2 linked regions of the Struthio camelus genome follow. The protein of the gene in region 2 purifies or fractionates together with the protein of the main gene of each other region. This does not show direct contact. Links are inferred from orthologs where the notes say so. Each region holds a gene or a part of one and is shown on either strand. Other genes may lie near its edges.

Region 1 (15,383 bases), about 1.7 Mb from region 2:
CAGCTGAAAACCCCGAAATGCCACTCTCTGGACACTTCCTTTTGAACACGATGGTATGGTCTCCCAAAACAAAGCAGCCTGTGGTTTGACTTCTAAAAATTTGCACCTCCTCTCGCACAAACCTGCCAGGATGCCTCTTCTCAAATTACTAGACTGGAGCACTCGAGCGTGCTGTACAACAGCCTAGAAAGCCTTTCCCGACTCTCCCCCTCTCCGTGACAGCGCCAAGCCTTTCTCGGGTTGCAGAGGAAACCACCGCTGCAGAGACGCGGGCCGGGGCTCCGCCACCCACACAGGGCCGTGGGAGGCAGGAGGAATGCGAGTGACAGCGGTGGGAACGGAACCGACGGCGCTGCCGTCCTCAAGTTTCCAGACCTGCAGAACCTGATCCTGCGCCTCGGAGGGCCAGCAACTCCCTGGCCTTAAGCTCTCGGGTCAGTCTAACCAGCTCAGTCAGGTCTGGGTTCACATGTTTGGGACTTCAGTCACTCCTCTTCACTTACAGCCGCCATGCCTGCCCGCCACCAGCCGCTCCGTCCGCGCTGTGATGTTAGGTTACGCTCTTACAAGATGGTATCTCCCCTCGCTGTGACAGCAGATGAGTCACTTGCGGACCCTTGAGCTGGCTTGCAGGACCTGGGCCTCTGGTGTCATCAGCAGAGATGACTCTAGTTAGAAGAATAAAATCAGATTTCATATTTTTCATCTGACTGTATTCCTGCTGATTTCGTGATGCCACGTGCCTGACTCAAAAGCTGATGAAGACCAGTGGTGCAAAGCAGCTCTGTGAGCTGAAAAAGCTAAATATGGGTGGAAAAGACACTGCATAGGATCTATGCTGAGTAAAGGTGACTGCATCCAGAGCTGACTGACTTGTTCTGCCACCCGCCACCTCATCAGAATGATACGAGCCAACATTTCTCTCTGGTAGCCACCACCTACATTTTGGCCACCTAGTCTGCTTAAAACCATGGGCTGGCAGCCAAGGGAGGGCCAGTGTCCATCTTTTCTGCCTTCGTCAGCAATAAACATGATGTACCTTACGTATACATGTCATTAGTGCTCAGAAAGGGGCCTTTGAGATCCTTGCGGGGAAAGAGCAAAGAAATGCATCCCCTGAGCAGGAGGAGCTAATAACCAGTACCCCGTACCCCTGGTTTCGCCTGTAAGCCCTGAGCTTGCCCGGTTTCAGGCAAAACACACGGCACGCACGATTTACAGGACTGGAAGGGCACAACAGACGCTGCTTTGACACCCGCCCCGACCCTGAACGCGTCTCATGCTCTTTGCAAAGAGCAATGGGGGGTGGGAGGAGGGTTGCTTTCCTGGAGGGGACGCGCAAGGAGAGAGGAGCGGGCGGCAGCCGAGGTACAGCCCAGCCCTGCGGCGAGCAGCGCACAGCGAGCCCTTTTAAGACAGGCAATATTTTGGTGGCAGCGCTCTCCTTTCTTTCCCAGGCTGATGTAATGCTTTAGTAAGTTTGAGACAGAGTCACATGGCAGCTTCTGAGGTCAGAGCCCTGGGCGGCTTTGTTGTCTGTCTGCTCGCCTGCCTCTGGGCTCGCGCCTGGGCTCGCCGAGCCGCTCTCTCGGCTTGGACTCGCGCGCCGGGTGGGTGGACGCCTCAGGGTTTCTCTCCGAGCCGCCCTTGCGTCCAGGGCACCTCCGTGTTTCCACGCCGGTGGCCGGAGCGGGCCGCGCCGCTGGAGGCGCGCGGAGGACGCGCGCACGCGCGCGCTCCCCGGCTCGGCGCCCGTCGGTGGGACGCGGTTGGCGCGGGAAGGCGTCGCGTTGGTGGGCCCGCCCAGGGCTGGCTCCAGAGCGTGTCCGCGATGGTGGGACGCGTGTCGCTGCCTCGCGTCCGTCTGCCTGTCTGCAGAAGGGGCACGGCCCCCCTCCCGCCGGGTCACGAGGGGATAGGAAAAGGAGGCGGAGGAAAGGGTGTGACGAGGCGCTCTAATCTCCGCATGTGATCTAACTAGGCTGGAAGGGGCTTGACAAACAATTAACAATCCTCCAGCTCAGCTGCTGTTTCCTGAAATAGCTCGCTGGCAGGGGGAGGGAGAGTGGGCGCGCAGACAAAGGTGGCCTCTCTGCGAGCGAGCTGCAGCCGGGAGCGCTGGCCGAGGCAGCCCAGGAGGTTAAACAGTAGGGAGCCCACAGCCCCACCTGGAAAGAAAAACAATGCAAGATAAAAGAGGCTCGGGACAGGAAACAGCTTGTGGTGCAAATAATGATTGCAGAGGGCTGCACACACCACTGATTTTTAATAGTCATTTAAATTTGCCTTCAACACCCAGCAAAGGAGGCCAGAGCTGGGAAGTTCGGCGGGGATTCACGCGACTGCCTCTCGGCTGGGAGGCCCCGTAAAACGTGGGCCAAGCGTAGCGTGGGTTGCTGCTGCTGAGCGCTAGCACGCACAGGCTGCCCGACAGCTGCTCTGTCTACGTTAGCCTGCAGTCGGACAGCTATTGCAGTTTTTTATTGCTATTGCTGCTTCCCCAGCAACTGAGCCAGTGGGAACACAAAACGTCAAAGCGCCTTATCCACGTTACAACAGAGCTGCAGGGTCCTTGGGCCGAGCATCTCGCTCCTGCTCCCAACGTCCCCCTCCGGCTTGTGCGAGCGCAAGGCGTCGCGCAGCCACGTTGCAGAAACGTGGCTCTGGATCGAATCGCCTCCGCCATCTGGCTCGCAGCGTCGCCTCCCTAACCTGTCGCAGTGGTGGAGCTGAGGATGTGGTTACCAAGATCCTGTTTTGACAGCGGCGCCACGGTAAATAGCTCCCTCCCACTAGCCAGTCGTTCCCATCTCCTGCCCCACTGCTTGCCACCAAATGTGCGGCCCGGGCCCGAGGGGGAAGCGAGTCGCAGCAAAGAGATGGAAAATCCTTCAGCCAGGACTGCCAGTGAAATTTGGGGTCTCTTCAAGGCGCAGGCTCAAGCTGGAGTTGTTCAACAGTTCTTTTGGCTGTCCCAGCTCCATTTCGGGAGCTGGGACACATCCCCTTTCTATTCAATACAGACCAGGATTCATGAGCTAGACTCTTCCCAGGAAGAAGATGGGGACGATACACACACATGTCTCTCACCAGAAGTTGGGTTGGGGCAAAATCCTTCCCGTGAACAGATTGTTCAAGTAAAAATGCAATTTCAGGACAACTAAACCTCTGAGGAGATCCAGGCTGCATCCCTCAGGGACTGATGACAAAAGTTTACAAGGCCAGAGAGTAACATTTCAAAATGCAGATTCATGCATAGCCACAGCCTGGGTTCTGGGTTCATTTCTAGACAGGAATAACAGACATCTGAAAATGAGCCATCTGTGAGAGACCCACACAGGTTGGAGGAGGAGGAGGAGGTTTGTTTGGCGTCAGTTTCGTTCTCTTTCTTTTTTTTTTTTTCCAGAAAAATCAATAATTCCCATGGATGCAGTCTCAAACCGCTGCAGTCAGATATCGATAACCAATCTCTCAGGGTTCCCAACTATTCTGGTTTCTCTGTATTTGAAGATAAGGCTAGAAGAGCTCAGAATCATCCCCAAAACACGGCAAACAGCACTAACCACTAAATACTGCTGAATGATAACAAAACACAACACACAAGTGAAATACAAACAAATCGATACAAACCTAAAACCAAAGGGAGGAAGTAGCTCCCTCAGCTTCTCGGAGTGCTAATACACCTGCCCGTGAAACCACAGCAGAGCGTGATATTACAGCAGAGTAGCATTCTCGAAAGCAAAGGGGTTTTTCCAGAGTTAAAGACCCCCTTCTCGTCCGCTGAAAAGCTAGCGTAGATGCTCCAGACTACTCCTTCCTTCCCCAAGCAGGCAGGACTCCCTCCTCCCTCCCAGGCAGCTTTCTTCATCAGTGACCTGGGATTCCCCCTTTTCTCTCTGCACAAATGATTTAAGATGTCCCCTCCCTCACTCTGAGCCAGTGGCTTGGGACTTCCCACCCCTCCCCTGGCGACCCGTGACCCAGACCCCCTGCCCTTCAGAAAATGCTGCTACTCCTCCGGCAACCTCTCCAAACACAAAGGGGAAAAAATTCCCACTCCCAGCTATCAGCTTCTTCAGGCAGCAATTTCCCCTGGAAAAATCTGGCCCCACATCTTTCACTGTTTTATGGAATTTGCTTTGGTTTCCTGGGGAAAAAACGCATTTATTTGTCCGGGGTTTCCTATCAGACAACCCTTCTATTGTAGTCTACCTTCCTGTATTTTTTTTCCTCTCCGATATGCTTGCAGCGGCTTCTGTGTCTTTTCCAGAGAAGTGCAGAGGACCGTGGTCTGTGTGCTCTCTCTAACCCAGTTTCGCAGATGGAGGTTGCCTTGTGTCCAGCAACCAAGAAACACGACAGCCCAGGGACCCTGCTTACAGCCTGGCAGACGGGTCTTCAGCTGCCCAGCGCAGCCTTTGCTTCCAGCTCACTGAAAGCCGTGCAACAAAGTGCTTCTTGCCGGAGCAATTTGCTCCGCAGCTGTGGCCTTGAGGGATGCACTTATCTTTGCTAAACAGGAGGCAGCCTCAGCGGCAATCACCTACGGCCCAAAACAGGGTTAAATATCACGCGTTAATTGCGTGAACTCCACATGGAGTCAACTAAAGTCCCAATTCAGGGAACCGTGGGGTAGACCGTGTGCCCAAAGGAGTCACAGTCTAATTATTTTTTTCTCTCCCCGTATCTCAATGTCACCTTCCTTTTAGCTGGCAGGCAAACGACTACTGCAGCCCTATGTACATCCCAGAGCGCAGATGTGTCCTCTGTTCGACTGCTTCCTATTTAAGCATGATAGGAAGGTTGTATACTGACACTGTCAAGTCATGGACCTGTTATCCCTGGAAGAGATTGCCTGCTCCAGTTCTCTGCTAGCAAAAGGGCGGACTGAGGTCCTTGGGACTTGCCAGCAAAATCCATCACACACAGCGCTTATTAAAAGTCCAAAAACAGCCAGAAGGGAGCCTTTCGCCTCCTCAGAGTAGCAACCGCCTGAGAAGAGTAGCAAGGACAGAGCAGATCATGCCTGTGTCAAACCTCTCTTCCCACAATAAAGGGAAACTGAAAAAGAAAGTGTCTGTGCCTGCTAGCAGGGTTTGATCTCCCTGCTCCTTTCGATCTGGGGCCCTCTCCCATTGTAGGGACCTGCCTTTGGCCACTTTGTCCTTTCCCTCTGCACAGCTGACCTGGTTTGCGAGGCCGACTAAACGACTGCCTGCCCTCGGACAGAGCCTAGAGCCCTGGCAGGATGCCTCAGGACAGTCTTCCTCGGACAGCAGGATGATGAGCAAGAAACGGTTATGGAGTAAGGCTGCCTAGGAAAAGGTCCTTCTAATTTCTGCCCGGGGACAGATTCACTGGGCGTTCACGTGGGTGCCGCAGATGTCCTGTTTAATATGCTCCACTGCCGTTCCACTATCTAAATCACAGCTGGAATCAGCCTGACCTCCTGTCCTGTCACTGATTGAAAAACATAATGACGACTTCGGCGATCTGGCACCTCACTACTTACGTAATTAATTTCTTTTTGAATCTGAGTAAGCTCTCGGCATCATTGGCATCTTGTGGCAGTGAGTTCCCGAGGTTCGCTCTGGCAACACCTTCTTTGCTCAATTTCATTTCCCATTGTCATCTTCATTAAATGACCAATTGTTCATGCACTATGAAGAGGAAAATTAACTTTCTCCAAAACAACCCTTATTCTGAATAGTCATCCTGCATCCTCCATGAATTACTACCTTGCATTTGCTCATTTATTCCATGCTTATTTGCATTTTGAACTTCTTTTTCTGGTTGCCTACTTAGGGGCTGCAGTGTCTATACAGGCAGGCCTTTCACTATTCCTACCCCAACTGAGGGTAAGGCTACAGCATGAAATCAGCTTTTGTTAGACAACAGAGAACCCGCAAGGAAGAGCAACATAAGGAAAGCCACAGCCACGGCAAAAGCTTCAGTCGGGCTTTACTCCTTCCCAGATACCAGAAAATCCAACTGCAGGCTGCAAGCCCAAGGAAACCCACTCCATCAGCGCTGCCACGCACTGAGCTAGTTGTAACTTAGCTGCTTCCTCTCACACCTTGCTGAACTGGTAGCCATTGCCTCTGCGGCCTTCACCTGCTCCACTTTGGCTCTATTTTGTGCCCTGGGAAGGCAGAGATCTCTTTGAGTTACTGACATTTCTCAGCTGCCTCGTAAACTTGTGGGCAGCTTGGTACCTTCCAGGTTTCATCTCTAGCTGGCTGAGCACGTGTGGCTGGAAGCACCCAGCATTTAAGCCTTCCTCTTGGCAAGGAACAGGCACCCCTTGAGACCTTTTTGTTTTAATACCTCAGAGTCACCGATATCAACATGACACACGATTGCGCAGTAGAGGCCTCGTGCCATCTGCCCCCTTTGCGTTTTAGAGGGAAGTCACCATAAAACCTCACACTGTGATGTCTAAAAATGAGGCTCAGAAAAGCTAGTTATGAATGCAGAGGGGCCATGCCTGGATAGGATTTGGTGCACACTCTTGCAGCCCACCACAGCACTGAATGTTTAACCACAGACTAGTGTTTTGTGTCAAGTTATCACTGGCCTAATCCTCCGGTTACAACCACCATTGAAAATCTTCAACAACTTTTACTAAAAATGCAAACAAGGAAGAAAGGCACATGGAAGCATCTGAAACTCATTTACCTTATTTCCTTTAATGCTTCTTCCTTTCATTGTAAAGCCTTGTCTATGGGGAAAAAAATCCCCTATACTTTTGCAAATCCAAATCTAAACAAATCCAGCTTTTCCCCAAGAAGGAAAAGCCATCTCTTCCATGTCAAATGCATATTGTTAACACCAGACTAGTAGCTAGTACGGGATCAGACACACTCCCCCACACACATGTATACACTTGTCACAAATATTCTTCTGATAAAAGTTTCAGTGAACCCAGTTCATTTCTGCGGACGGTCTCGATTCTGATGAGTTGGCACTTTTCAGCACAAAAGTGTTTAATCAGATCTTTCCTGACCAGTTCTGCAGCTGCGCCGTGTGCCATTCACAGAGCGCTCCTCACCCGTGGAGAAATAGGTTAGCTGAGCGTGGGGAAAGCCACCAGAACGCTCCCTAGTGCTTCGAAGTAAAAGATCGGAACTTCCCACAAGAAACAGAGCAAAAATACTTCCATCCTAAAAAAATACAGCAGCAATTTGACTTTCTTGTGTGTGAATTTACGACATCATGTAAATTAACTCAATTCCCAGCATCATAAAAAAGGCTGCCTTTTTTTCTTCCTGTGAGGTTTGCACTTTCCCTACATTTCAAAAGTGCCTCCTTATTTTCAGCCCTCAACAGCACCACGAAGCTTTATACTTTTTCACAAAGGTGTAAGAGCCGCTTGCTCTCCCTAAAGCGACGTGAATAAAGGTTTCACGTAATTTATTAGAGGACTTCCAAAATTCCCAGCTAGCAACTCTCAGGGGCTACCAGAGCTTTGCTCTTTCATTCCCAGCACAGTGAAGATTCAGTGGGATACTTGCAACGTGAGCGAGCTGAACGGCGCAGCCTCAGCCCACTGACAGCAAAGAGCTGCAGATTGCCAGACTTTTACAAGCGTTTGAACAAATCTAACCAAGATAGCGTTTGGTGTGATGCTCAGCATACACCATCTCTGTGAGTGCACGAGCAGACAACCAAGTAATTAACACAACCAAGTCCAAGCACGAAGAGCGACTCCCTGGGAGACGCTGAAAAGGCAGCAACAAGGCTACGACACGCTTCGAGCTGCCGACTGGCTGCTTCTGAAAGGTTTCACAGCGGAGGGTGTGTATTCACACACGTGAGCTGTGTCTCTGCCACGGTGTCCTGTACTTCCTGGAACAACCCGCCACCCTCTGAGCCTGTTTGTACTACGTATGTAGATAAGGTGCACTGCCCTGAGAAATTCTGCCTTTGCAGAGCACCCCAGCACCTGAAGCAAAGCCAGCACGGTACCTCTTGGCTGCACCACACGGCAGCAAGGCCTTGGCTGTAACATCTCTCGCAGGGCAGACAGGAGGAATCCAGAATGGCTCAGCAGCTCCAGGCCAGCCCAAGCTCTTCTTTCCCCGCTTGGAAAAGTGCTGGTGTCCCTCCTCCATCCAAAAGTTACGGTCAGCTCAAGCCTGCTGGCATTTCCAGAGAAAGGCAAGAAGTCCAAAGGCGCTAGAGCAGGCAGCTAGGGCCGCAGTGCAGCACGAGGGGTAGTGGCAACAGGGGTTATTTTGCAGGTAACATGAGGACTTCAGTGAAGGGGGGACAGAAACAAGTATTGCACAAGAGGAGCTTTGGCAGCTGGGCACGGGGAAGTTGGAGAGGAGGGATGGGAGCCCTGAAGAGTGCAAAGCGCAGGTGGAAATCACAGGAGGACTGCGGGGCTTGGAGGACAAGGGCTTCGGGGGGCAGATGTAACTGAGCGAGTGTCTCCTTGGCACTCTGCTTTCCGCTCCTGTCCATGAGTGCTCTCGGAGTCCCAAGGCAACTCCAGCTCTGCACAGGGCATGTTCAGCACAGCACATTTCGCGGGAATCCCCTGAAACCTGCCTGCGTGGGAAACAAGCCATCCGAGGTGATGCAAGGAGCGGCCGCAAACACAGCCCTAGCGCTCCTGCGAGTTGCGCCACACCTGAGAAGCGGTGGTTTTCCAAGCGCGGGGCTGGCCAAAGCAGCAGGCGGATGGCTCACTCGGCAAACTAAAGAAACCAGTTTTACACGCGCCGCAGCCTTCCCACCCCACGCTCGTGAGTAAATCTGCTGCGATTGCAAAAGCGACTTATCCCTTTCACATGCTGAGAAAGCATCTCTACGGATAGGCTTTGTACCTATTCCTTCGGCTAACCAGCACCGTCTTCGCTATCGGCACCGGACTGCAACCGCACGAGGAAAGCGGCGGCCAGGCCACACCCTCTGGTGAACACAGCAGCGATCGGGGGGATCGCTGGACGCAGCGCACCCCGGGCCTCGCAGGGCCAGCCCAGGCCGGGCGCTGCCAGGAGGGCGGCGGGGACGCTGCCCCAGGCCTGCCCGGGGGTCCCTCCTCTCGGTGCCAGCGCCTCGGGGCTGCCACGGGCAGCAACAGCCCTTTCCAATCCCTCAGAGCCGCCCGGGAGGCTGAGAGGCTACGGAGGAGCCTGAAGGCGGGGAGCCAGGGGCTCCTCGCTCAGCCAGCGGCCGCGGGGCCGGGCCGGGCCCTCCGGAGCGGGGCACCCCACGAAGGGCCACGCGAGCACAAGGGACCGGCTGGCCCTTCCCCTCGTTCCTCCCCCGGCAGAGCAGAGCGCAGCACGGCGGCCGGGCCGAGCGGCGGGAGCGGCCGCCGCTCCCTCAGGGAACCGCCGCCGCCGCCACCACCACAGCGGCCAACGGCCACACGGCGCCGCGCGGCGCAAGGAGGGGGGGGAGGGGCGGGCAGCGTCACGTGCCGCCCCCGCGCGCTGGGCGCAGGCGCGCGGCCCGTGACGAGGCGCGTGGGCGGGGCGGGGCGGGGGCGCGCGGGGCGCCCGGGCTCAGGCGGCGGAGGTGGCGGCGGCGGCGGCAGGGAGCGGGGCCGGCGCCGCCATGTCCATGGAGGACCCCTTCTTCGTGGTGAAGGGGTGAGCGGGGCCCGGCTGCGGGGGGTCCCGCGGGGGTGGGGCGGGCCCGAGCCCTCTGCGCGGCGGCGCCGCCACACCGGGGATGTCCCTCCGTGGGTGGGGGGGGGGGGGGATCGGGCCTCCCCGAGCCGCCACCACCCCCCGCCCCCGTGCGCCAGGCCGGGGCCTCGCCGCCCCCTCTGCTGCTGCTCAGGGGCTCGGGAGGGGAGGAGGGACCCCCCCCCCCGGCCCCGGGAACCCCCCCGAGGGCGGCCGGCGAGGCGGCGGCCCCACGCGAGGGACGCGCGTGGCCGCTCGCGGCGAGGCGGCCGCGGCGCGAGGAGGCTGGCGGCCACCCCCTCGCAGGCGGCTGGGCGGCGCGGAGGGCCGCGGAAGGGAGGCGGTCGAGGCAGGGGGCGAGGGGAACCCTAACGAAGAGGGGCGAAGCACCTTTGACCTCTTAAGAAGCAGGCCGGGGTGATTTCCCCGCTTCTGGTGGGAGCCGGTTGTCCGGCTCCGTGTCGCAGCGAAGCCGTGGGGACGCGAGCGGCCGTCCGGAGCGGTGGAGGGATTCGGAGGAAGCTGCTGCGAACGGGAGGAGCGCGGCACCAGCCGGAGTTCGCTCAGGGGGCGAACGCAAGCGAATCGCTCTTCCAGGTTGAACTGGTGCTATGGGAAACAAAACTACAACAACAACAACAACAAAAACCCACTAAAGGCCGTGGGTGGGGAGCAAACGTCCTGTCAGACTTTCCAGAGAGATTCCCCGCGCTGTGAGGGAAAGGGTTGGGAGGGGAGCGGGGATGTGCTGCCGCTTTTGGTGTTGATTCTTCTCCTGCAGGTTGCAGTGGAAGGGGTTGGTGTTCAAGCCCAGCCGTGCTTCATTCAATTTGCTTTCCTTTCATTCATAACTCCTCCCATCTGCAAACATCGAGCTCCGCTTTAGACTTCCACTTGTAGGGACTTCCTCGAGCACATTCAGATTTGAAAAAAAAAAAAAAACACCCAAAACTTTGCCTAGCAAGTAACAGAGGAAACAAACCACACTAGATCCTTAGTCCTGGCTGCTAACTTTAGGGGAGTAGATGCAACAGACTCTTTGAGCCATAAATGTCCGAGAAGAGGAGGAACACACATCAAGGTGCAGAGACTTCAGCATAATGATGTAATGTAGAGAGACCTGGAGCCCAATGGCCCTCCGAGGGCTGCTGGGTGAGGACGTGGTTCACCCATCTAGGCTTCTCCAACTGGTAAACTGCTTTGATTCACTGGAGATCAGCGCCCCTTGCACGATCCTGTGTGCAAGCTCTTGGATTCGTGGCCACCTTTCAAGAGCCAGCAAAGTCTCGCTGGCGTTGGTCTTGTCTGTCTGCCTCGTCCTGACTCGCCGTTAGCCCAAGAGAATGGTCCATAGTGTTTGTACGTATGGATAATCACACCGACAGTTACCTGCCCTCTTGCCCCAAACCGTGAATGCAGCGTTCAGTGCTGTCAGCAAAGCCTATGTTCCCATGCTGTGAATGCGCTCTTCTCTAAAAAGCTGAGAGCAGCAGAAGAGAGTTCTGTTGGCTAAGCCAGTGCAGTAGAGCCGTGTATTTTTTTAATGCTAAATTAAAGTAAACAGTGCTGCGCTGGACAGTCTGCATGACTGTAACGTGGGGGCAGTTCCTCTAATTCTGTTTGCCCTTGGGGTATCTTGCCTAGGTAGTCAACAGTCTTTAGAGGAAAGCTGTTGGGAGAAATGCAAAATAATAATTGCCAAATAAGAGTCTTGATCAGACAGTTGCACTGCCCTATCTTGCTGTTTGTGACACTGAACAGAAACCTCCGGTAGCTGAACTATGAGTTGTTGCTCAGCACTTCATGCTACAACACTAAAGGAGACGAGCTTGTCCAGAAGCGTGGTGAATCCTTATTTTACAAAATAAACCAAAAATACTTGAAGGAAAGATGTTTGGGAGGAGGTTGCACATCCCTGCTCTCCTGGACATGGGACTGTCCCTGCATGACTGCGGCAAAACAACTAAAAATAATCCCTTCACTTCTCTTTAATTATCCTGACTGCAGGGAGGTGCAGAAAGCAGTGAATACTGCCCAGGGGCTCTTCCAGAGGTGGACGGAGCTCTTGCAAGATCCCTCTATAGCCACAAGAGAAGAAATTGACTGGACCACTAATGAGCTCAGGAACAATTTGCGGAGCATCGAGTGGGACTTGGAAGACCTGGATGAAACAATTAATATCCTTTTTGCACTGCTGGTGCCGTCTTTGGAGGTAGAGAGAGGCAGTTCACACCTTGCAATAAACAGTCAAGTGCTCGTGCTCGCCAGTAGTTGCTTTTTGCAGAAACCAAGACTGTTCGGGATTGAATTTTCAGTTTACCCCAGGTTTTCTCGAATTGCAAATGAGAGAGGAAGATGACAAAACAGGTTCTGCGCACGAATTTCCCTCTGCGTTTTTGTTCACCTTTTGAAAAGGTGTCTATTAAGATGCTTTCTTCCCAGAAAACTGTTCTGTTGAATGAACTTGGATTTCTGTGTAGTCAGTCCTACTCGAGGCTGGCTTCCAGAAATACTCCTTTTCCCTGTGTTCGGCTGAACACTCCTGAAAGTGCTGCACAGCATCAGACAACCAAAAACCACACGAGCGTGTGGTTTCTTTCTCGTGCGTTCTGCAAAGTATGTTGCAGCCGTGCTTTTTTCCTTTAGTGTCTTGTACTTTGCTAATCGAATGTTGGGAAAAGGCACAGGTAAATGGAGGCGCTATACCGCGTGATAGACTTCTCAGTGGTCAGGATTTCTCTATCTGCGTACGTACTGCACCCTGCAAACAGTGATTCCTTGACTTGTTCTCTACGCATTGTTGAGGCAAACCCTCGGAAATTCAACCTCGATGCAACGGAGTTGGGTATACGGAAAACCTTCATCACAAGCACGCGGCAGGTGGTCAGGGTAAGGAACGTGGGCTTCAGGTAGGAACGGGGCACAAGCGTTGGGGTGGGGGGGCCACTTCGGTGGGAAAGCAGAAAGCTTGCGGCCATTTCAGTGCTGAACTGGAAACTGGTTTCCCCCGCAGTAGAGGACAAACCTGTTACCTGCTCTCTCTTGGGCTTCTTCCTCTTCTCCGTATGCTCCCTCCAGGGGCTTCCCAGACAAGCTAGGGGCACAGCAAGGATGTGGAGACCTCATTGCATCCCCTACCTGGCTTTCCTCCCTTTCAGCTGCTTCTTTAAATCTTCAAACGTCTCTTGTAATGATGAGCCTGGAAATGCCTAAAAACTGGAAATGAAGGCTAAGGATTCCTCTGTTATGCAGGAGAAACTGGAATCTCCCTTCGAGTAAAGGACAGCTACTGTTTCCTTTAACTGCGTGTCACAAGTTTTCAAAAACAGAAAGTCCACTTTGAACACTTACTAGTGTTATTTACATGGTGACTTCAACTTCCTACTGCTACAAAACAGTCAGAACAGCCACTAGTTTTTATTTTTGACTTTGGGAAGTTTTTTTTGGTTCAGGCTCACTCCCTTAAATACCAGTCCTTCGAACAGAAGTGGGCCTGGCAAAGCCCACTTTGCCCTTTCATTCCCAGCACAGTGAAGATTCAGTGGGATACTTGCAACGTAGGAAGTTTTCTCTGTATTAATATAACACTCTCTGGCAATATGGCTTAGTTTCTGCTGTCCCTCATGACTTGGATGTTCCTGCTTCATAAAAGGCATTGCTCTGGCTGGAAGCAAGCTTGTTATCCTACCTGTAATGCTGTGGTCTGGATACAGTTCTTAAAGCTTGCTGCTTGGGAACGGATCCTGAAACCGCACCAGCCCCAGGTAGCGGGCATGTGCTCGCTGACTTGCCCTCTATGTAGTACACTTCCCAGGTGAGGAAGAACAGGCAAGCCTGCTTTGTGGTCCTCTTTCTCAGGCTGCAAACTGCTGGCTAATGGATTTTGGAGCGATGTCTCCTACTGTTAAATGAAATTTTTTAGTGGCATTTTCCAGGAGGCTTCCAGTTTCCACAGGAGGAATTTGTGGTGCATAGCAGCACAGGCATTAGCTAGTGAGGTGCTTTTAGAAGATCTGTTGCACATGTCTGAACAGTAAAACATAGCTGCATCTTCTGGTGTCATCAGAACTGTGCTGGTAGATGAGATGGATCAAACTTTGATAGCTCATACTAACTATTTGATAATCTATCCTATAAGAACTGGACTACTTTAAAAAGTGTTTGGGATCCTTCTTTGACTAGCCAGCTCCTACAATGTTTCAAGAACAAACTTTAATTTATAGGAGAGAAATCTAGGCACCGTCAGAGAGGATTGCCATAGGACGAGAAATCTATCGTGGCCTATGCCATGTTAAACCAGAGGCAACTGGGAACAAAGTGCAGGTTACAGGCTTCCGACACCTTCAGGTCAAGAACATAACTCTTCTTTACAGTCTGTTAATGGGAAGATTAGTTTAATCTTATACAAATCAAAGTGTTTCTCTCTGTGGAGAAGCAACACTAAAAGTAAATAAGGAATTTTTTCAAAATATCCCGTTGCAAATGATTCTAGTTCTAGTAAAACTATGAACTATGATGGAGCCTTCTTCAGCATCCTTCCAGGCTCTTCAAAACTGCATATGTTTGTAAGGAAAATCCACCCCCGCAAGAAATCTCGCTGGGTATAGACAGCATTGTAGCAAACTGAAACCGCCTATCATCTCAAATCTAATGCTCACATACTACTTCTTTTTTGAACAAACAGGAAATGAAGGATCAGATGTCAAACTCTTCCATGCAAGCGCTGGCTGAAAGAAAAAACAGGCAGGTAAGACTCAGAAACAGGCAAGTTAAATGAATGCCATAGCCTTTTTGATACTTTAAAGTTTGAGGAGGATTTATCAGCTTTAGCAGCTGTTGTCTTAAGGTATGTGTCACATGAAACTTTCGTTTTCACTTACTCTGGGGCCCCACGTCCTAAGGTAGAGCGTATAGTGTTGAACAAAAATCCTTAAAAGCTGTAATTACAAAATATATCCTGTTTCGTAGCTCCTCGCCTAAAAACATTTGTGCTGGCAAGGGGGGCTTACATGTTGCAACAAAGCCGTGTGTTTGAACTGTGTCTGTTTTGCTGGCCTGTCGTTCCAGAGCCCACGAGAGAGCTGGCTCTTGCAGGCACATTGTCGTCACTCCCTTCCAAACCAGTCTCTCAAAGTAACCGGTTACCACTCACCATCTGTCTCTGTCGTCAGAACTGACCGTGTACAACTGTCAGTGTTGCATCACTCTTCAGGAAAGGGAATCTCCTTCCTTCGCAGGAGGAGCAGAGTCAGAATCCAAGGCAGTACAAGTAATCCTGTGCTCTACTGTACTTAGGAGCCAGGATGCTATATATCCTTACAAATAGCTGCATCTCATAATAGTTAACCTCATAAGAGGATGGAAGAAGTTCAAGGAGTCTCAGGTTGTCCGCACTTGCAATCTAAGTAATAGATGCAACATGTGCTCCCCTCCAGCTGACAGGGAAATTGTAAGGAGATCTCCAAGTCGACTTCCAAAGCTGCCTCTTGTAAAAGTTGGTGTGCGCTTGATACAGCAGACTTTTCTGACTGGATCGATCTTATTACGTGTGGCAAAAATGACAAACTCTGGAACAAGCTGCTGAGGAGGACAGAGCTAATTCCTGAGCTTGTTACAGGGTTAACTAACATGCGTGGCAAACACTTGAAGGTGCAAACTCCTTATACCCCTGCTCGGACAAGTCTGTAGATGTCTCTGCATTTTGCTGCTTTCCTTTCCTTGATGCTCCTGCTCGCTGTA
Region 2 (15,664 bases):
CAATGACGCCCAGCAACACAGTCTCAGCATCATCTCTAAATGAAAGCCTGGACTACAGGACCCACAGCACACCCATCCTCCTGCAATGGGCAGCCGGGCCCTGGAAAGCAGCCCTCAACTCTTGCCTTGAGCCATTCCTCAAACTCTGCCCCTTCTCAGTAGCTTGCAACTTGTACCCAGAGCAAGTGGAGGCAGGGTTGGGCACCCGGCCACCCTGAGCAGCGCGACAGAGAAGTCGCAAGGACCGAGATCTGGCGGTGGGTACACCGCACCAGTGTGCTGAGCTGCATCTCCAGCACAAGCAGGAATGCTAATCCAGCAGCACGGTCACCTGAAAGGGGACAGGTCAGTGGCGAACATGCTCTCCAGGAACTCAAGCAGTGCAGAAAAGGGAGAGATTTTGGTAATAGTGCAGAAAAGATGACCTGCGATGACAGACTCCTACTCTAAGTAAAAGAAACTCAGGTGGAAGACAAACTTCCCCCTTCGCCAGCAAACGCACTGACAGCTCTCACTACACACAGTCAGGACCTCTCATAAGGCCTCTAAGCAGTGGCAGAGAAGAAGAGAGATCAGCTCTTTTGTTTTTTTAACCTGTTTGTTACAGCTGTTTGTTTTCCCCTGTTTGGGGAAAAGGATAAAACCCTGATAAAAAATACCTTTCAGCTCCAACCCGAATAGCGCCAGGGATGGGGAGACATCAGAGAGGCTAAGGGACCCCACTTAGTTACATGGGAGCTTCCAGTCCAACTGAGCAGCTGTTGGGACAACAGAGCCTGACCCTCCAGGCATATCAGCGCAAAAGATGTTACAGAGGGGACTGTCACACTTCCTACGATTATCACCGGCTCTAGCTCCTCTCTTTCCCCTCCAAAGTCTGCAGTATTCTCAACAATCGCTTCCTGCAGCTGAGCCAGCCCTGAGGGTCTCTGCACAGCTTTGCTGCCAAGAACAGCAAGAAAAAGTTTTCAGTCTTACCTCTCAAACTGAATATGCTCCACACCTTTGCTGTCACGCTCCCATCACCTCTTCCTCTGCCCAGTCCCCTTTTGCACCTATCTTCACGTTATTCCCTCCAGCCTTGTACAGCTCCAGTCTCTCTAGCTTTGCCCAACTATGCCTCAGCTCTCCAAATACTCAAATTTCTCCTTGAAACGTATTTTCTTTGTAGTACTTCAGCAGCAACCCAACACTCTCTCCTCTGCTGAAACAAGAGAGATCTGTACCATTATGAGACCAGGCATCACCCCATCCAGCACAAAGGTCAGTCTGATCAGAAACGTAATAATAAGCTACTTGACAAGAAGTGATCACTACATACTGCAAATGCCAACCACCTCTGATGAAAGTAGAAAATAGATACTACTGCATATGGCCTGGAGAGCCTAGATACATGTAGCCGCTTGTTCCCCCAAGGGAAGGTTTAGGAACATTCCTTAAAGCAGGTCCAGACAATTATATGGCTGGACAGGCAACCGCCAAAGCTCATATATGTTGGATGTTAGTCACATCACACCTATGAACTAGCTGTACAACCTATGAGCTCCTGGATTAGTTCTTCTTTCATGTTACTTCCCCTTCATAGATGTTGTGCTATCCTCTGCCACCTGGAAAACACACTCTTCCTTGGCTCCCACAGACTCCCATGACTCCTCTACCCAAGGCCCTGCTCCCTTCTGGCTGGCCAAGAAAGCGAGAAGAGAAGAGCTCTTGTTTTCCTCCACCACGCAGGGAAGACAGAAGACACTCTGTGATCCTTCTCTGGAACAGGAGGACTAAGGGGTAGGCATTACCCCCTCTCCACTTGGTTGCAGGGGGGGTGGGAAGGGGAGGGAACACCACTCTCACAGATGACAATTATCCTTCCCCCCTCCCCCCCCCCCCATTTACTTCAGACCAGTGTGGCACTGCACTAGAAAGGAAGCTTTCTCCACACCAGCTTGCTATAACAAAGAGTTTGGCTCTACTAACAGCATCCTACCGCACCAGAGGGAGCGGAGACCCCCTGTAAACTCAGGGCAGAGTGACCACCGCCCTGTCTCCTCTGTAACTCAAGTGCACCTTGTGACTCAAGATAACATGGTAAGCAGGCACACGACCAAGCATTGCCTATAGCTGACGTTGGCAATGAGTCATTCCAGAGCTGTTTGGGCTTCTTCCTGGCGTGAAAAAAAATCCCAATGAAGAGCGACTCCAAGGCTGCAAGCAAAATGACCCAATCTGTTAAGCACCTGGTCATCAGTTTCCCACAGATTTCTATTTTGGCACTGGGGCTGCAGGCAAAGGAATCAGCATAGCACAAGCAAGGTTCAGCAACCCAGGGGTCTGTGAATATCCTCTCCCTTCCACTAAGGGCCACCATCACTTTCCTAATAGGAAACTGTGGGGCAAACTGGAGCTCAGCACAAGCACCATCCAGGAAATGACTTGCTGGGAGAAGGATCCAAGGTGTTTCCTCCTTCCTTCTTGCCCTATTACCAGGGTGTTTGTTTCTCCTCTCTTACTCTGTTGCAGCCAGTAATCCTCCTCCAGCTGTAATGGTTTCCTGTTTGTCCAGCTGCTTTGACCCCATTGAGTCATTGCTCATCTCTAAGTCATCCAGATAAAGTTTTCTCCTAGAGGAGAAGAGGCCAGAAGACCAGCAGCTGCCCGAGAAAAACAGTCCTTACCTATTCCTGACTGCTCATTTTCTTGAAACATTGAGGATGGAGTTCCAGAGTGAAGGAAGAAGCAATGAAACAATAAAAACAAAGGGTAGATGAGCAGTGAGCTAGCCCAAGTTTAAAATTCAGGGTTAATGCTCCAGAAAGACTGGTTAAAAACACGAAATAGTTTAGCACCAGAATTTAGCACCAGAATATAGCATGGGCTTCGGAAACTCCACAGCGCTACTGGGCTGCAATCCTATCCCTTTGCTTGTATTAATGCACAATTCCTGGATAGCTTGAATCAAATTTGGGATTTCCCTTAGCTGAAGACAGGTAGGGCAGGAAACCACAAGGAGGAGAAACAAAGCACAAGCCATGCTCATACTCGGAACTACACAGGCATACTCCAGTAAGAGAGCAGCAGGAGCTTGTAATGTCAGAATAAAATATTATCCATGTGACACTGCGGAACAAGAACTTACTGCCTGATTTTGTCATTCCTGGGTCCAAATCTCGGTCCGGACGGCCCTCTCCTGTAAGCAGGAAAGAGAGCAATAATAAGGGAAGATGCAATGAAAACATATATTTAAACCAGAGAACTCAAAGATCGGCCAAAGAGAACCAATGCCTTGTGGAAGGAGGCTTGTTCTCATGCCCCTCATCAGTCCCTCCCATATCTTAATATGTGGGGTGCCCCAGTTTTACACAGGTCACACCTGCAAAGTCTTCATTCATGCTTGCTGCCAAGGCTCTGGGAGATTATCTCCAAGGAATCAAAGGCTTTGATAACAGTAAGCCCTCACCTGTTTGGCAAGGAGCAGCTTTTGGTTTTCAGCACCTGCAGTCTCAGATCTTTAGTTAGTTAAGACATCCCATTCCCTACAACACCCATGCAGAAACTCACAAGAAAAAGTCTTCCTCTTCATCTGAATCTTCCTCTAAAAGGTTCCTCTGCAAACACAGAAAAAACCCATCGCGTCAATAAGCATCCGCCATTTCACACACACGTTTCCAGACCTTAGGACACAAGCACACACCTCTAAAATACAGGCTGCTACGCAGCTCTGCTTTGGGACAACTCTCACATCACTGCCATTGATCCAAAGCAGGTTCGCATCAACTGCCAGGTTCCTATGTAGCTTCAGATCCTACTTCTCTTCCAAGCATCCGTATACCTTCCCACGATGAAGTAAGCGGCCAGTCCACCAGTATGTTGAACCCTGCCTTGGAAAACAGCAGGCAGAGTCCCTGCTCATGCCAGCTGGGGTGGGAAAGCCCTCTCGGCTCCAGGAAGGATCCAAAGCACTATGCTCAATCAGAAGTAGCAGCTCAAAACTTCTGTATCACCTGCAACTACCTGGAGTATCTCATCCACATGGAAAGTCGGATCTATTGCTGATTCAGAGGATGCTGTTTTTGCAGTCATCTGATGACAGCCTATTCAAGGAGGACAATAACATTGAAACAGACTCTGGCCTCCCCTATACGCCACGTCCGGGCGGGTTGGCCCTTCCGACCTGCACAAGGAGGTGAAGGCTGCAGACAGAGCGGAAAGCAGGAGTGCTCTGCTACCTGTTCTGATTCACACTGAAGGACTCATCCTCCTGCACATGTCTTCCCGTAACGTTCAGAAGGGGACAGGATTTGAGAGAACAAATTCCTTTTTCCTGCCCAAACGCACATCCTGATTCAGGGACCACGCACATCTCCCGATTTGCTCTCTTCAGCAGTTCATTGCGTTCAGATTTGCTGTTCCACCACACCTCACCAATTGGTACAAAGGCTGATTTTTAAAGTCAGCCTCACAATCCCACTTGCACCCAAAAGTTTTGGGCTAGGAAGGTATTATGAGAGTTCCTCTCTCATACCGTGGCAACAGGAATTCACCACTCAGGCTGAGGGGTCCCAGTCACAGATGCTTAGGATTAAAAATAATCAAGAGGGGATGTGGCACCCTACGTGTGTGGGCCCAGCAACACATCAGACTCTATCGTTACGGCACCAACAGATGCTGCTTCCCCCATGCATAAATTTGAGCTCCCACCTGCAAATGCAATGCTCTTATTTTGAAGCCTACCTACGTTTCAGCTTTGTCATATTTGCTCAGTCAGCTTAAGCAACCTGTGAGAACATGCATGAGCTGAAGCCATCACTTCCTTCAAGGGATGAGTGAACTGCTCTTGGCAGCACAGGATCCTCATTTCACCGACAGGGAGCAGGAGCCGGAGCAACGTTTTAGACTACAGCCAAAACTTGGTTTCAGCACTGCACGACCCCAGGATGGGCACATCAAGGTGAACGCACTTAGCCTGAAACAGGCAAGTGTACCATTTTGACCCATATTTCAAAGCCTGGAACGTAAAGGGACCTTAGCGACAGGAAAAAAATTCATCTGTAAAGCAGAGCACCACACTGTAACTTCACACGAGCCTTTCAGACAGCTATTTGGGGAAAGAGAGCTGCGACGTGACCAGGACAAGCTTTCCCTAGAGGCAGCTCCCATCAGGAAACAGGAGCACACTGGGTTCTCGCAGTGGTAAATGCGACCTGAAGGAATTGAAGCAAGTTCTCCAAACAGACACCGTTTGTTGGAGTTGGTTTTGTTTTTAAAAATACAGAGTAAATTAACTGCACGGAGAGTCCCTTCATTATCAAAATTTCGTTATCAACGGTGATATTGGCTTCTGGGACCTGTTGACCGAATGCCACGGTAGCACAAGCCCTTTCAGCAAGGGGAGCTATAACTTACCCTGAACTGGCCTGGCAGCTAACGGCACAGGGTAACTCAGGTAAATCTTGGGGTTCCACCACAGGGCAGGATCTTCAGAATTGCAAAAAGGCCAATTACAGAAAAGCGCTGCGAATACAGCAGAGCGATTCCAGGAGAGGAGATCCGTGCTGCACAGCCTCCCTCGACCCGCCAGCTCTGCAAACACCACATCACATAAGCGCGCTGCCTAAGCAAGCACCTGCCAGCCAGCCTGTTAACACCTACCCACCTTCCGTAAGGAGCGCCGCGGGGGCTGCTACATAAATAACAGCCTACCTCGGCAGACGACAAACGCCGTTTCGTACAAACATCGCAAGGTAAACCGCAATCACCTTCTTCCTCCCAAACCGCGGGAGCATCTCAGGTGACAAACGCAGAATAACAAAATCGCTCCATCAAGGCGCGCGAAGAGAGTTATGCCGCCAAAGCTGTAGGGGAGTCACAGCTGTCCGAAGGACAACACCTTCCTTTAAAACGCAGTACAGTCCAGGTGGCAGCCTCTGGAGGGTGCCCACGAACGCGGGGCAGAGGCACCAACGAAGCGCCGGGGCCCTGCCGGGGGCGCGAGGCCGCTAGCGCCCTTCTCAGAAAAGGGGAGAGATCCCAGAGCACGAACCTGCCTCCCGCCCCACCAGAAAGCCGCCCGGCAGCCCACGAGAGGGAACACAGACCCCACGGGGCGGGGGGGAAGGTTTCCACGGGGCATCACGGACACGGGAAGGTGCATGCCCGAAGCACCACCTCGAGCTTCACCCCCGTAAAACGCCTCCCCCGCGCCCCCACGCGAGACGGGCAGGGCTCCGCGGGCCGCTTACCCGCTCGCTCTTCACCGAGCCCGTGACCTCGTCGTCGTTCAGGTGCCGCTTGAATTTCGGTGGCATGGTGGTGAGGGCGGGGGGGGGGGGAACGGCGACGGGAGCGCACCACCCTGGAAGGCAACGCAAGGAGGGTCTGCGACCGCGCCCGGGCCTTGGGCCGCCGCCTCCGGCCTCCGCCGCGGGCAGGCGGCCGCGGGGCGCCGGTCGCTGCTGGGGGGGGGGGGGGGGTGAACCGGCACCGGGAGCGGGGGGAGCCGCCGACTCCAGGTGCCTTCGCCCCTGCCGCGCAGTACCGGCAGCGTCGGCGGCGCCCCGAGAGGGGCGTCCTGCCGCCGGCTGCGCAGCGAGCCGCCGCCGCCACCCCACTCCTCCCCCCGCGCTGCCGCTCACCGGGCTCCGCTCCGGGCCGCACCGGCGGGAAATGGCCGGTGCCGCGGCGGCGAGTCAGCTGGCCCATCGACCACCTCGGCGCGCCGCGCCGAGCGCCGAGCTATCGATCGGCCACGGGCGGCGGGGCGGGGCCAGCCGAGGGGGCGGGGCCGGCGGCGGGGGCGGGGCCCCGGGGGCGGGGCCGGCGGCGGGGGCGGGGCGCCGTGGCGGCCGGGGGCGCGTTGCGGCGCGTGCGGCTGCGGGAGCGGTCCCGGGTCTCGCTCGCTCAGACTTTAAGCGTGTATTTCTTTTTCCTTTTTTTTTTTTTTTTTTTGACTTGCTGGGTTATTTTCCAATGAATCGGGAAACAAACGTAGGCAAAGCCTGCCGGGAGGGCGGGTTACCCTCGTCTCGAGCCTGCCCGCCCCCCCCCCCCCCCCCCCGCCCCGGGGCGCCCCTTGCCCAAATTCCCTTTTTTCGCTTAGGTCGCTTTCCGTGGCCGTCTTAGCGCCGCTGCAACCCGCAGCCTCCCGCAGAGCCGCCCGCGCCCTGTTTCCTGGCTGTGCCCTCCCTCGCTGCTAGGCAAATAATAAAAAAAAACACTCAATAAACAAAACATCATTAAAAACCTAACGGCGACCGCACGGGGCTGTTTGCGCGGGGAGCGAAGCCCCTCGGCTCGGCCTCCGGGCGCTGCAGCCGGCACCCTTAACGCCTCGTGCTCCCCCCTGGCAGGGGGCCGGCCGGCCGGACACCGCTGCCCTCGCCCCCCCGCCGGGGCCGCGGCTGGCCGCGGGAGCCCTGGCGCGCTGCCCCGAGAGCAAATATTTTGGCCGCGGGCTGCCGGAGGGCGGCCAGCGCCGCCGGGGAGGCCGGAGCCGGGGGAGGCAGGCAGGGAGGGAGGGAGGACCGCAGCCCCCCCGGGACCGCCGGCGGCCGCTTGGCGAACGCCGCAACCCGGCTCTGGAAGTTTCCTGCCCTTTCGCGCCGCCGCGACCCTCTGCCCTCCTATAAATGAGCGCGGCGGCGGTGGCGGCAGCGGCGGAGGCAGGCGGCTCCCGGCGCGGAGGAGCTGACGGGCCATGCCGGGCACCCGGCTCCTGCTGCTGCTGCTGCTGCTGCTGTTTGGGGGGGGCCTGGCCCCGGGGGCCGCCGATGACGACGGCGCGGCCGCCGGCCGCTGCACCTACTCCTTCACGGTGGCCAGCCCCGGCGAGGCCGGCTGCCCCGAGGCCGGCGACGGGCGGGAGCTGCGAGCCGAGCTGGCCGCCCTGGCCGCCCGCCTGAGCCTGCTGGAGAGCCGGGAGGCGGGCGCCGCCGCGCCGGCCCAGAGCCCGCGGGTGCAGAGCGCCCGGCCCTCGACCCCGGCCGCTTGCGGCGACCTGCTGCGCGCCGTCTCCCGCCTGGAGGAGGACAAGGGGCGGCTGGAGCGGGAGAAGGAGGAGCTGCGGCGCCGGCTGGAGAGCAGCGCCCGGGAGCTGGCCCGGTTGCGGGCCGCCCGCTGCCCGCCCCGAGCCCGCGGGTCCCCCCGCGACGCCCTGCACGGCTCCGGCCAAGGTAAGGGGACGGGGTGGCGCTTGGCACCTCGCTTGGCTGCCCCCCTCGCCCGCCGTCCCGCTCCCGGGGGTGGTGGTGGTGGGGGTTTCGGGGTGGCCGTCTCCCCCCCCCCCCCGCAGGAGCGTGACACCCCGCAGCCGGGCTGGTTCCCACCCGCGCTGCCCCTTCGGCCCCCGCCGCAGCCTCCCCGTGGGACCCGCAGACCATCGACTACCAGGAGCTGAAGTCGGCCCGGATGGAGGTTCCCGCTTCCCACCTGCTGGAGGAGACGGCGCCGGGCCGCCCCGATGCCGAGGACTCGGGTACGGCCGTCCCCGTCCCCGTCCCGCGCCCCTCGCCCGCCCGTGCCTTCCCTCGGCCTCCGTCCTCCCCGCCGCCCGCGAGCAGCCTCCCTCCTTTATCCGTGGCCTTCTTCGCCTCGTGCCCTCCTCTCTCCGTCTTCTCCTCGGCTTTCCCTGCCCGCTCGCCATCCCCCGCCGCCAGCACGGGGCCCGTCTCCAGAGAGGTCCCCGGCCCCAGCTCCTCGAGGCGGCGGCGCTGGGGGCTGCTGGGACGGGACGCGGGTGCGGGCGCCCTGCACGACCCTCGAAACGGGCAGCGAGGCAACGCTGCAGCCTCCGAGCAGGCGAAGCAGCACCCGCGCGGTCAGCCGACCGGGGGCTCGGGAAAGGCTGCCTCCCCTCGGGCAGCGGACCCCGTCTCCGGAGCTTGCAGCCCCTTGGGGAGGCAGCATGGAAAAAACATAGGATAACTCAGGCTGGACCGTCCCCAAGCGCCGCGCGGGTGCAGCGTCCAGCCCGACCCGGCTCCTGGCTTACGTCTTCAGCGGCACCTCGTGAAAGGGCTCCGCGGGCTCCACCGCGGCTTGTAAATACCCCTGCAGAAGCGAAGGTCCCTCTTTTCTCCTTCCCCCTCCTCCTCCCCAGCGCTCACAGCTGCCTCTCTTCCCTCTCTGTCCCCAGGGCTCCTGCCGGGGCCAGACGCAGGGAGCTGCCCGCGCGCCGCGCCGCCGCGGCTCACAAACCTGGCTTTGCCCTCCCGCTCCCTGCCCCAAAGGAGCTTGCTGGGATGCCGCTCGAGGACCTTTCCCCACCGCCACCGCTCGCTCGCTTGCTGCCCGGCCCCTCTCGGGAGACGCCGCCCCCGCCGGCTGGGGCCGCGGCGGAGCGATAACGCCTTTCTTTCCCTCCCTGTCCCCCCAAGCAGGCTGCGGCGAGCTGGTGTGGGTGGGGGAGCCCGTCGTCTTCGGCCAGGCGGACTCCATCGCCGGCAAGTACGGCGTGTGGATGAAGGACCCGGAGCCCGTGCCCCCGTTCACGCGGGCCACCACGTGGCGCGTGGACACGGTGGGCACCGAGGTGCGCCAGCTCTTCCAGTACGACGACGCCGAGCAGTTCAGCAAGGGCTACCCGGCCAAGGTGCACATCCTGCCGCGGGCCCTGGAGAGCACCGGCGCCGTGGTCTTCCGCGGTGGCCTCTACTTCCAGCAGCGCCGCTCCCGCCTCCTGGCCAAGTACGACCTGCAGGGAGAGGCCATCGCGGTCGAGAAGGAGATCCCCGGCGCTGGCTACCACGGGCAGTACCCCTACTCCTGGGGCGGCTACACGGACATCGACCTGGCGGTGGATGAGACGGGGCTCTGGGTCATCTACAGCACCGAGAAGGCCAAGGGGGCCATCGTGCTGTCCAAGCTGGACCCGGAGACGCTGGAGATCCAGCGCACTTGGGAGACCAACATCCGCAAGCAGTCGGTGGCCAATGCCTTCATCATCTGCGGCGTCCTCTACACCATCAGCAGCTACACCGTCCCCAACGCCACAGTCAACTTCTCCTACGACACGGCCACCGGCACCAGCCGGCCCCTGAGCATCCCCTTCGAGAACCGCTACCAGTACGTCAGCATGGTGGACTACAACCCCGCGGAGCGGCAGCTCTTCGCGTGGGACAGCTTCCACATGGTCGCCTACCCCGTCCGGCTCGCCCGCGCGTGAGCAGCGCGGGGGGCGCGAGGAGGACGTGCCGCGCTCGCTCACGTGAAGCAGGGGCTCTGGGGTCGGGGAGGGGGACGGCTGAGCCCTCACGACCCCGCGCGCGCACACGCACCCCACCCCGCGCTGCTCCCCAGCTTTCCCCGAGCGCGGGCCTGACTCCCGCCCGCCGGCAGAGCGCCGCCGCCCCTGGGAGCCTTCGCCGAAGCTGCCCCTACTCCGCTCGACCGCCCCGGCGCCACGAACGCGTCCGCTGGCACCTTCTGCAAAGCTGGGTCACGCTCGACCGCGGGAAGACGACACAACGTGCTTCTCCGGCGCTCGGTGGAGCCAGCAAAACGCTCCTCCCTGGGCTCAGCAGGTTTGGACGGGCGGCGACGGCAGGACAACTCCGTCCTCCGCAGCGGGCCTGGGCCGGCGTGCAGCGGCGCCGACCTCCGCGCAAGGAGCCGTTTGGGGGAGCTCAGCTCAGCCCTGGCGCCGCTCGCCGGCACCGGTTTGGAGCAGGGATGGCTCAGACGCAGCGCGGGCTCAGCAGAGCAGGATGGAGCATCCCGCCACCACCTTCCCGCCGCCCTCGGCCGCATCGCTCTAGACACCCTCGCGTCGCCTGTAGCCGCCCCGCGCTGTTTTAAGAGCATGCATTTTTAACTATTTATTGTAAAAATGCTGTAGAAGGGTGATTCCCCCCCCCACCCCCCGGCCCCTCCCCGGGCGCCTGGGGGTGGGCGCCAGCAGCCCCGACGCAGAGGGGCACAGCCTGCCCGGTCCCGTCGCAATAAACATCACCCACCCGCCGCAGCCCGCGCGTCCCTCTTTCCAAGCTCCCGCAGGGCGGCGGGAAGCGGGGCTGCGCCGTCTGCGGGGTTTGGCAGGCCCCAGAAATAGGGTTCGGCGGCCGGGAAACGGGGTGGGGGGGGGCAACGCGCTGCGTTAAAGCCAGGCGAGGGGGGTGGCGCTGGCGGCCGGATGAAGCGGGGGCCCGGCCCGGAGCGTCCCTCCGGGACGCAGGATTTTTTCCTTTTGGCCTCCATCCCTGGCAGCAGGCTTACAACGAGGGCCGTTCCCAGGCCGGGGCCCCCGCGGGCCCCCTGGAGCGGGGTCCGGGGTGAAGGCGGTGGGAGGCCTCTCGCTGCAGCGCTGCTGCCGACCGGTCCCCCCCCCCCCCCCGGGCCCCGTTCTAGAAGGGGGGAGACAAGAGGGTGGGGGGGGGACCCCCACGGTGCAGGCAGCCCCGGCGTCACGCGGGCTCCCCCGGTGAGTCCCCGAGGCGCTCGCAGCCCTCCCGAAACGCCTTGGTGAGGGGGGGTGTGGGGGGTGGCCGGCGGCCACCCCCTCACACCGCGACTCCTGCTTGGCAGGCCGGGAGAGCAGGGGGGCCATGCGCGCGGCCAGGCAGCACCGGCGGCTCCCCGCGGCCCCCAGCGCCCCGGGGGGACTGGCTGAGCTGGACCGGCGCCACATCCCGCCGCTCGCGGCCAGCCGCGCTGCCTTCTCCTCGGGGCAGCCGGGGGCCGGCTCCTGGGGGCCTCGGGGCTGCGCCATCTACGCCCTGCAGCGGAGCGGCGGCTGCGCCCAGGCCCCCGCGGCGGCCGGCCCGCTGGGCGCAGTCCGGGCCCCCGCGCTCGGCGGCGATCCCTTCCCCGCGCTGCTGCTGGTGTACGAGGCCCTGCCCGGGAGCGGCCCGGCCATCGACCGCAGCCCCGGACCCCCCGTCCCGGCCTGCTGGGCTCTGTACGCCCGGGCCGACGTCGGCCTGCGCTGAGCTGCGCCCGGGCTCGGCCCCTGCGGGGAAGGGGCACCTACCAATAAAGCTGTGGCTGGTCCCAGGCTCTCCCGGCCTTTGGAAACATCGCCGTTACCCCTTCCCGGGCCCCGGCAGCAACATCGTCCCCGGGGCAGACTTGCTGGCAGAGGGTCCCTTGGTCCTGCTCCAAAAAGCCACCGCCGGGGGCGGCTGTGTTGCCCTGCTGAGATGAACGATGGCCCCGGCCCTCCCCATCCAAGGGGCAAAGGCAAAGCCAGGCTGAGCGACGCCTGCCGCGAGGCACCTCCGAGCCAGGCTGGCCCGAGCCCCCGCAGAGACCGGTTAACGGGGTCGTTCCTGCTGCAGGGAACTGGAAAACACAAGGTCCTTACCCAAAACAGACAGGGGGCAAGGGCAGGCGCCCACCTCCGGCAGGAGGAAGCCTCCTTTGGCCCCAGGCGGTGCAGGTCTGGCCCCCTCCCTCATGCTCCCATCTCCTCCCCAGCCACAGCAGCGGGACGCGGGGCAGCGGTGAGACAGCGATGGCTTGTTCAGAAATCATCGCAGGAACACCAGCGCTAGTCGAGACACTGAACCCACACAGACCCAGCGCCCCGATCTCTGCCAGCTCCTGGGTCTTCTCAGGCTGACAAGTCCATCATTTCATTGACTAAGAAAATAAATGAAGACCAGCCAACGTACACAAGATTTCCAGAAAGCTGGGCTTGAGCTGAGCCCTTCTAAATACACAGACTTGCTTTATAGGCTGTTCAGAACAAGCCCAAAAGAGAATCCATCCCTCCCCCTCCCACCTCCCGATGAGCAGAAAGCACAGCGCTGAGCACGGCTGCTGGATCTGACCCCGGTCACATTAATTCCACTTCTGCTCTTGCCTGTGGTCTTTTCACAGACTGAACTTTACAACAAAGTTAGAGAATTCCCCAAACAAAGTAGTTCCCTAATTTAGGGGACGTTCTCAACACAATTATTTGTGATGACTAGACAGCCCCAGAAAAGAGCTTACACAGCAGATCCCACTCAAAGGAAAAAGCAAGACGCAGCCTAGCTGGAAACGGCCAAGAGCAAGTTATCTAGGCAAATATCACAAAAATATTGAATGAACTGGGGTCAGCTTTGACTGAATGCTTAGCTTGGCCTTAAAAAGCCACGGAGGTGGTTCAAGGCTATTTGGGAAGCATACATCAAAATGGCTTTATTCAGATGCGCTACATCGTCAGACGTTTGCTTTTGATTAAGTTTTTGCAGAAATATCCTTGTTCTGCTAAACACAAGTAGTAGCTGAAAGCCTAGCACATTCCCACTGCAATATTTGGAAAACTTATCTGACTTCTCTAGTGGCTTTACTACAGAACTTGAAATTAATCCTTTCAGCAGTATTCTTTTTAATTACAGAAGAGTCCAGGGAATGATTTTGGACTTTTAAGGGTCTTTCCCTTCTCAAATAGGGAAGCATCAGCATAAAGCCACAAAATCAGAAAGAGCTCAAGTGATGGAAACGTTCTGAGTGAGTACACCATCATCGTACCCTATTTTTAATACACAACTTGTTTACCGTTAAAATCATCTTTTGTAGCACATTATAGATCACACCAATGTCTAAAAGTTTACTCAGTTCTCACACCTTCTTCCTCCTTTGAGGGTTAACTGTACTTGTACCGCTCCTGTAGGAATGGCTTCACTTCACCTGTGATGTTACCTACTCAGAGGTAAACTCTGCCCAACTGTTGCTCCATTTTCAGATTACAGCATCTGTGGCAAATTCATATCGCTGCAATACTATTAGTAACGCACTAAAAGAACCAACATCAGCAAGACAACTCTAGCTCCTCCGGTGTCCCCACATCATCACTTCCAGTCCAGCCAAAGCGCCGGCCAAGGTTTGCTTTGCCACTGCCGTACAGCTGTCTGTCTGCAACGCCATCGGAACAAAGGCAGATCCGCACTGCTACCACCAGCAGTTGTAGAGATATCCCAGCAGAAGTTTCTTATTTCCAAAGAATGCATATAAATGAAAGTATCATGTCAGCCAGCACCTATTCTCAGGGCAGGGACTATTTCTCAGCATTTAGAGACCTAAAAGAGAAAGGCTTCTGGTCCTTATTGTGAATCAAGAGTACCCTCTGGTGGCCAGCTGAAGAGCACAAATCTTTAACTGATCACACCTTCCCCCTTCTTCCACTTCATGATTGCCCATCTCACACAAACCCCATGCAGAAAGCCACATGCAAACAAGGATGCCTTCACCTGGGCAACGGAAGGACTGCTAGGATGTTTAACCCTTCATTACACCCAGCAGGTAAGGGTGTTCCAGGAAAAAAGCCAGCAATTGTGTGATTTGAATCTTTTATTGTTGCAAGTGTTTGTTCCTTGGCTAGTTTGTTTAATTTTGGCCCTGCACCAGTGAATTGGGAATGGAGCAAGTGAAGGGTCCTGGGCGCAAAGGGCAGCACCAGGAGAAAGGTGTGCTTCCTCGGGAGTATGCGTGTCATGGCCCACTCCTGCTTCCCCCTGCGGGAAACGGCCACCTCTTGCTTTTAACAGCCCCTTGCTGTGCGGGCTGCCTGAACGGCCAGCGTTCGTACTCACACGCAGGCCAAAATCTTGGTTCATCCGGGTCTCCTCCAATGAGCTGATCTTCTCCAGGAAACAAAATACAACTCTTAACACCAAGCAGGTTGCCAACGTGCCAGAAAAAGGATCGTGTCTTGCAATGCAATTGGCTAGTAGCTCCTTCCAGAGCTGGAGGGAAGCCACGTGCCACGGGACCTTCACTGGAGAATGGGATCAAGAACAGTGAGTGCAGGGAGAAACAAAAACAAGCTGTTTCACAAACTGTTTTCCTTTACAAGTCTCTTGTCCCAAGTTGTAACACATACTCTTCACTTGGCACATGATATTCAGGTGAACTGCTTGCATCCTGTAGCGTTTAGCTAATCATGAGATTACCAGGATACTTTATTTAGAGAATACTTTATTAGTTTCTGTAATCAAACCCATGTAAATAAGACCTTACATATTTAATACAGTGCGTTACCCCTGTACAAATGGAAAAAATTAAGTTTAACATTTCTAGACCAATATGGCTGTTAATTTCTGTACAATGCCAACTCACACTACAAGTGGGATACTTTTTTCCAAAAGTTGACATCACAGCTAAAGTTTCCAAAAATTCAAATTATATATATATTTATATAAAAAGATAACCAATAGCGATTCACTAGGCATCAATAGCAGCAACAGCCTTTCCAGCTTCTGCAGTCATTTGAACAAAATTATACACATTAGACTTTCAACTCACTCTTCCTTCCAAAAATGTAAAAAAAAAAAAAAAAAAAAAAAGAAAAAAAAAGAAAAAAAAAGAAAAAAAAAAGATATCCCAGAAAAAAACAGCAAATTCTGCTACTGATGTGGTACCTGGTGCTTTTTATTAGCTTTTCAATCATTGTCTGGAAAAAACCTCTAGAATAACATTATTAAAAACAGCTCCAGTATAGCACAGTCACTACTACATATCATAAGCAGGTACAGGATATCTTACATTCACAGAAGTATCATACAGTACTGTCCTACAGCTATAATACTAGAGGATACAATTAAAAAGGCATTATTTGACTTGATTCTACTTTCCAGCACACTGTGGGCCAGGAGGTGGTGCGACGCAGCTCTGATATAAAGAATGCACCTTTTAGATAAAATTCTCTTTAATCTGATAAGGTTTCTTTTATTCTAGTGGCACAGTTCTAAGT

Evidence for each region.
Region 1: the proteins of VAMP4 (region 2) and STX6 purify together in Homo sapiens (co-immunoprecipitation; 5 studies listed by BioGRID and IntAct, counting the BioPlex papers as one, with this or other methods). This does not show direct contact. The link is inferred for Struthio camelus from reciprocal best matches to the Homo sapiens genes VAMP4 and STX6.

Annotation. Positions count from the first base shown.
Region 1 is NC_090949.1:6,929,114-6,944,496, reverse strand, and holds the start of STX6 (syntaxin-6), read left to right. Parts: upstream 1-9,495; 5' UTR 9,496-9,570; coding exon 9,571-9,605; intron 9,606-11,651; coding exon 11,652-11,821; intron 11,822-12,438; coding exon 12,439-12,533; intron 12,534-14,328; coding exon 14,329-14,391; intron 14,392-15,383. UniProt on the Homo sapiens protein: SNARE promoting movement of transport vesicles to target membranes. Targets endosomes to the trans-Golgi network, and may therefore function in retrograde trafficking.
Region 2 is NC_090949.1:8,654,362-8,670,025, reverse strand, and holds the start of VAMP4 (vesicle-associated membrane protein 4), read right to left. Parts: upstream 6,750-15,664; 5' UTR 6,694-6,749; coding exon 6,627-6,693; intron 6,347-6,626; coding exon 6,234-6,346; intron 3,600-6,233; coding exon 3,553-3,599; intron 3,182-3,552; coding exon 3,131-3,181; intron 1-3,130. Other genes in the region: MYOC (myocilin), read left to right, coding at 7,688-8,162, 8,345-8,464, 9,366-10,153. UniProt on the Homo sapiens protein: Involved in the pathway that functions to remove an inhibitor (probably synaptotagmin-4) of calcium-triggered exocytosis during the maturation of secretory granules.